2 linked regions of the Yarrowia lipolytica genome follow. The protein of the gene in region 2 interacts with the protein of the main gene of each other region in a pairwise test. Links are inferred from orthologs where the notes say so. Each region holds a gene or a part of one and is shown on either strand. Other genes may lie near its edges.

Evidence for each region. The genes of interacting proteins can lie anywhere in the genome.
Region 1: the proteins of YALI1_D18130g (region 2) and YALI1_E08937g interact in binary tests that used the Saccharomyces cerevisiae proteins (3 or more experiments, as listed by UniProt). The link is inferred for Yarrowia lipolytica from reciprocal best matches to the Saccharomyces cerevisiae genes ARG3 and CAR1.

The regions. Positions count from the first base shown.
Region 1 is NC_090774.1:892,192-895,742, reverse strand, and holds YALI1_E08937g (uncharacterized protein), read left to right. Parts: upstream 1-2,061; coding exon 2,062-2,994; downstream 2,995-3,551. Other genes in the region: YALI1_E08915g (uncharacterized protein), read right to left, coding at 3,220-3,551.
Region 2 is NC_090773.1:1,811,036-1,814,594, forward strand, and holds YALI1_D18130g (uncharacterized protein), read left to right. Parts: upstream 1-1,994; coding exon 1,995-2,981; downstream 2,982-3,559. Other genes in the region: YALI1_D18115g (uncharacterized protein), read right to left, coding at 289-478, 528-586; YALI1_D18167g (uncharacterized protein), read right to left, coding at 3,236-3,559.

The sequences.
Region 1 (3,551 bases), on a different chromosome or scaffold from region 2:
GTCGTCATTGCTGCATGCTACTGATTGACTACTGTTAGCACCTCTCCAAACCAATAATTACAAAGTAGCACGGACAGGAAGCTACAACATTCTAGACTGACAAAGATCTGATATTGGCAAAACTGGCAGCTCTTGTGTCTATTTAGAACTAATTGAGTCAAGTGTTTCTCTGTCTTTGTGAAAAGCATGTTGTATTCCAGAGATCTTGGAGAGAGGTCATTTGCTAAACATATAGAACCACTAGAAGCTAGCGACTCAGTCTGAGAGTTCATTTATCCTGAATAATCGTCCGAAGTATTCACAGTTGAGTAATCACTTCTTGTATATGAGTGAAAACGGAACATTCTTACGCATCTGGGGAAACAACGAAGGAAGACATTGTACAAACAAAGCTGTTAAGTGAGGAACACCTAATGAAATACAACCGCGTTCCAAATTAATGACCCCACGGAGTACAGTACCCTAAGACTGTGCCAACGCATCTGGGGGAGCTATTCGTAATAAAACCCATGCTATGAATGTCTATGATCGCACGACTTTTGTTCCAGACGCTCATCGAGTAGTAGTGCGATCTCAAATGATAATTGAGTGAATCATTACGCCAAAGTAGAGCTATGCTTTGTATCTGAACTACTTCTAGCCTTACTTCGTGTAGACCTCATCCCTCATCCCTCCTCCCCCATGGTACACAAGCTGAGCCAACTAAGAGAGATTATGAGAAGAATGAATGTGAGTAGAACTCTTTCGTTAGAATAGTCAGCTCCAACAGCTATATATAATTCATTATATATATGCCAACTGGAGTCGTCAAGGCCGAGTTTCATAATCAAGGCAATGTAAGTCAGAGTCGGATCAGACAAGTAGAGTCATTGGGGCCTATGGAAGTGATAGCTCATTGGACTTTTTTTTAATCAAAATTATCTTAATCTATATAATTCCCAGATATTCACCTCACAATTATCTTCTTATATCTTCCCCATATCGACATATATTTAATTTCTTTTATGATATTTTCCTATAAATATTTTTAAATTTCACCATGACAGGAGATACTCAAATCACACATTCCTTCTCTTACGCGCACCAACGCGCCCCGGGGCGATTGTATCCTTCTTGAACTGACAGGTTTACAGAGAATTCCAGTTTTTATCTTATCACTCCTCTACAAAAATCCATCTCTTGCCCTATCTCAAAGTCACAAGCTATCTCTGGCGAATAGCAAATATACCTATCAAATCCACCTCCATGGTGAATCGAACTCACGTCTCCTGATAAAGTTCTCTTCAAACATTTGCTATCAGAAACATCAAAAAGCAACGGCTATTATTAGAGTCCAGTGGAAGCTGTTAGACCCTTTTTGACAGGAGCACATGGCACCTTGGGTGATGCGCACTGTTCAAACAGGCACCAGGGATCAATAACCCTTACCCACCCATAATCATCATTGCCACTTCCACCATCTGCCCTAGCCCTCTCCTCCCTTCTCCACTTGCACGGCAACCCCTCATGACCCCCTCAAATGCCTCACTCGCTCACACCTGTACTTAGGGTCATGGATCGTGTTGTAGTGCGTCTAAAATGTTGCATTACGGTTTTCATAAAACTCAATTTGGTTCGAGTGTGTTATCGTGGGATTTTGGTTGGAGGAGGGAGTGCGAGACTCTGGCGGCGTTGCGGACGTATAAAAGGGAGTTTTTCGTGTCGAACCACGTGCGGTTTTCTTTGGTCTCGTGACCCGCTCTCTCCTCGTCCGGTGAGACCCCCCAACCGGCTCTTTTCTAGTGCTTTTGGCAGCGCCGTCTACTCATGCACACCTCATCGCCTGTTCCTGCACTTAGGGGTGTAACGGCGATTTTTTTCTTTATATAAGGGCCGGATTTTGGCCACCGTGTTTCTTCTTCTCCACCATCTCTACCACGCCCGGACTTGACACCTACGCTTTGTGTAAGTTCATACAAAAGATCTGATTCTGATTCCGCGTTGATCCACCTTGATCTCCACCACCATCACCACCACAGCCACCATCACCACCACCACACCACCACCACACAACACAACACAATGAACTTTGAATACTTCCCCGAACGAAAGCTCAGCATTGTCTCTGCCCCCTTCTCCGGAGGCCAGCCCAAGGGCGGTGTCGACAAGGGCCCCGAGTACCTGCTCGGAGGAGGTCTCGAGAAGCACCTCCAGAGCCTCGACTGGGACACCAAATTCGACGGACACCTTGAGTTCCCCGTGCCCGAGTCTGACGAGGACATTGGCAAGATGAAGCGACCCCGTTACGTCGCTGAGGCCTCTCGACGGGTCTACAAGGCTGTTTCTGAGGCTGCTGTCTCTGGACGGTTTGTGCTCACCATCGGGGGTGACCACTCCATCGCTGTTGGCACTGTTGCCGGTGTGCGAGAGAAGTACCCCGACGCCTGCCTCATCTGGGTCGATGCTCATTGCGATCTTAACACTCCCGCCGCTACCGACTCTGGCAACCTGCACGGCTGTCCTCTGTCGTGGGTCACCGGGCTCGCCAAGCCCGAGAAGGACGATCCCTTCGGATGGGTCCCCGAGTGTCTCGACTTCAAGAACCTCGCCTACATTGCGCTGCGAGACGTGGACGACTTTGAGAAGAAGATGATCAAGGAACATGGCATCACCGCCTACTCCATGCACCATGTGGACAAGTACGGCATTGGAAAGGTGGTCGAGATGGCTCTGCAGAAGGTCAACCCCGATCTCAGCAAACCCATTCACCTCTCCTTCGACGTTGACGCCATGGACCCCTTCTTTGCTCCCTCCACTGGAACTCCTGTTCGAGGAGGTCTCACCTGGCGAGAGGCCTGCTACATCTGCGAGGAGCTTGCTGCCACCGGAAAGCTCGTCGCCATGGACCTCGTCGAGTGCAACCCCGCTCTTGGTGCTTCTCAGAAGGATATTGACGACACCATCAGCGCTGGCATTTCCCTCGCCAAGAGTGCTTGCGGAGATACTCTTCTGTAAGACGGGTTAGAATGAAGGGCAGAAGACATAGACTCACTGGATACGGATGGGGAGTATTTAGCTGTAATATATATAGATTTGATTTTCTTATTTTGGACGGTATTTGAGATACTGTAGAATGTATTGTGATGACGTTAGATGATGTTAGAAAGACAGCTCGCTATAGGTGAGGGAAATACTAGTACATACAGATGTCTGTGTAGGGTCAGTACGGCCTGGAGATCCCTAGATTGATTTCACGAAACTCTCAATCTTTTCCACTACAGCATCAACAGCTCCCTCCTTGCTATCCCGTCCAACATTATGAGAAGCTCCGTCAATGACACCAGACAGCTCGGACCAGTTTCCGCCCTTGACAAAGCTCTCGTATCGGTCAACAATCTTCTGCTTGTCCTGCTTGGGGTCCACAAATGCGTCGCTTCCGCTCATGAGGAACAGCAGGGGCACCTTGATCTGTCCAAAAGACTTTTCGAGGTCTGAATCGGGCAGATCAATGGAAAAGAAGTCGTCGTCGCCTCGAGGAGCGTTGAGAGCCACAAATCGCGATGCTGAAATGG
Region 2 (3,559 bases):
TCCAATATTATCAGCTCTGGGCGCGAGCTACAACAACTACCGCCCGTACTAGTTGGTGGTAGTACAAGTTGAACGCGCTTAGCCGCGGTTAGCTGAACTAGTTGTATAATTTTCAAGAAGGTGGTTTCAGGTTGTCCAAAAAACAAGAGATTTTTAAGAGATATTCTACTCTCTGGTTCGTGAACAGTGACCTGAGGTAGAACATCAGTGATCCGGACAGGACCACCAACATATCGCTTCAAACGTCACACGTCATTCGCGTTTCGGACAGTACTAACCAGCTCTCAACTACAACTGTAGGTAGCCTGCCATCAGCAATGGCAACTCCTTGTTTGCGGCTAGCTCCGCGGCTACACCTCTCGTCCCCCTAAGGCTCTTCACGCCAAGAAACGGCCTCCAGGCAAGTTGGTCTTGACAGCCAATCAGCTCCCGGGCAGTCCCGGAAATGGACTCTGGTCCAAGTCCGCTCTGTGCGCGCCTGTCAGTCACACACAGTAGCTCCAAAATGAAACCATCAATAGTCGGACATGCCCGCCAGAGGAGGAATGTGCAGCAGAGTTTTTCGCACAAGGGTCGTTTGGTTCATTCGACAGAGGCTTTATGACGGTTTAGCCCGATTGAAGCGAAATATTCTCCATCAAAGGACTTCCAAAAAGTCACTCAAGACTGGACCCTGACAACGTCAAAAACCCAGCCACAAGTGAAAGTGACATGATGACCAGACCCGTTAACAAGCTACAGTACTTGTTAGTCACGCGCGTAAATTTTCTCTCCCAGATGACGATCACGTGACCTTGCCCAAAAACCAAAAAAAAGGTCCTCCTACCGCCGTCCCCTGCAGTACACATGCTGCTTCAGCGGATGTTCGGACCGTCGGAAGGTGTCGATCCGGCCGGTTATGGGTGGCAAGTCACGTGAGAGCCAGATCGGGTCACGTGCACTACTTCTCGTCGCGAACATGATGTATGGATCAGGTTCAGCAAAATCACGTGGACGGCCCGTGAGTACATACTGTACGAGCACGAGCACGAGCACGAGCACGAGCACGAGCACAAGCAACATCTGTCTTTCTTTTTTTCAAAATGCCGCCAAAAAAGTCCCGTCACGTGACCCCTCCTCCCCATTTTACGAAGAAAACCAAAGCCCGTGTCAATACGACGACTTGTAACTTCACGTTTGGTCATCTCTTTCCATGACTGTTCTGTTTGGTCGACTTTACCGAGGCTAATGTATAGTTTAACCCCACGAACCTACAGTACTTGGAGCAAGAGGGGGTTGGAGCAGAACGTATCGTGTGCTTGTACTGTGGTTGATGGGCTATATTGAGGCTTACGAAATCACTCATTTTTTCTTCCCGTGACTAAAAAGGAACATAGAAATCGCGGATATGTACCTGTTGTTTCGAGATTTCTTTTTGTCGGTAGGTTTTATTACTCATCCATGAACAAGTACGTCTGCACGGAGAAGTTTGTTTTGAAAAATCCGGGGGTATAGGTGAAATTTCGCCGCAGATCAAGGGCAGATTTTTGGGGGTAGTTGGGTCGAAATAGAGCGGTGAATTTGACAATCTGAATGGAGTGCTACTGTGTCTAGATGATTGTATTTGTACGTACTCGATTGTACTGTACTCGATTGTACTTGTCCCTACTCCGAGATGTTGGTTCCTTCACTTGCCCTGCTTGTCCCTAACCCTGGCTTCCGAGTTAGCCGCAAAGTTAGGGTCCCATAAATGAGTCAATGGGGTGTGTAGGGTGGAGATATTTGCATTTATTTTGCTTCAGATTGTCTTTTTTCGGTTTTGGTTTGGCCGTTTCTTCGAGTGACTCATGGTTAGACAAGCAACCAAGTAAGGTCTACAACTTTTTTGAAGACCACGATGTACGATGATGACTGACTCACCTCGTCAGTGTGCAGGAAGTCAAACCACCTTTAGCTCTTCTGTCCTTGGCGACCAAGATAAGTAAAGTCGTTTGCGCACAAAAAAGAAGACCGAAATGATTCGACCGTTCTCGACGCTGACCAAAATGACCCCCCGACACCTCATCTCCATCGGCGACCTGTCCCCCAAAGAGCTGACTAAGCTGGTCGACCGAGGTCTGGTTCTCAAGAAGTGGATCAAGCAGGAGAACAAGACCGAGACCGATAAGCTGTCCGATCTGCTCAAGGGCAAGACGGTGCCTCTCATCTTCTCGAAACGATCGACCCGAACCCGAGTGTCCACCGAGGGAGCCGTGGCGTTTCTGGGAGGCCAGCCCATGTTTCTGGGTAAGGACGACATCCAGCTGGGCGTCAACGAGTCCACTTATGACACCGCCCGAGTCGTGTCTTCCATGACCTCGTGTATCGTTGCCCGAGTGGGAGCCCACCAGGAGATTCTCGATCTGTCGGCAGCCTCCTCCGTGCCCGTCATCAACGCCCTCTGCGAAAAGTACCACCCCCTGCAGGCCATCACCGACATGATCACCATCAAGGAGACCTTTGGAGACGCCAAGAACCTCAAGCTCGCCTGGGTTGGAGACGCAAACAACGTGCTGCACGACCTGGCAATTGCCGCTCTCAAGTCCGGCATTTCCGTCACCGCCGCCACCCCCAAAGAGTACCCCGTTTCCGAAGACATTATCCAGATCTGCAATGATGCCGCCAAGGAGTCCGGAGCCACCTTCACCACCACTACCGACCCCAAGGAGGCAGTAAAGGACTCCGATGTCATTGTCACCGACACCTGGATCTCCATGGGCCAGGAGAGCGAAAAGCAGCTCAAGATGCAACAGTTTGCTGGCTACCAGGTCACTGAGGAGCTTGGAAAGCTCGCCAAGCCCACCTGGAAGTTCATGCATTGCCTTCCCCGACACCCCGAGGAGGTTTCCGATCAGGTCTTCTACTCGGACCGATCTCTGGTTTTCCCCGAGGCTGAGAACAGATTGTACGCTGCCATTGCTGTTCTCGAGGCTTTTGTGGTCCACAAGGGCAAGATTGAGTAAGTGAAAAGCGAGTCACTTGCGCCACTGGTTTCAAGATAGTACCAGTTGTGTATATAGCAGCTTCATGAGTGCGTCGCACTGAAGTTAGTAATGAATGTTTAAATATGAACTGTACCAAGAATGAGCTATTGAGCTCACCAGACAAATCCAGTTATCTAATTGAGCGTCGGATCCATTCGACTATTCCCGTAATTGTACATACTGTACATTCGTACATCCAATAAATCCATGTAATAAATGCATTTCCTAGCTATCTAAACGAAGGCACTGAGATGTCCATGCAGCGTGACATCCAAGTCGACGGCCTCCATACCCTCTCGCTCTCCTTCCACCCACTTCTGAACCATAGGACCACTTTCCATAGGACGAATGGCCTCCTCCGCCGTACCAATGGTGACATGCAAAAACTTGTCGAGCGAGGTATGGTCGATACTCGCCAACAGAGTCTCGTCCTGAGGCCCCTGAACACTGTCAACTTCAAGTGCAAACACTCGTCCGTTCCAAATGGCCCGTGGTACATGAATTTGGAACTTCACCTTCTCAATTGGATTCACGCCCGATTCGAGATGGGGTAGCAA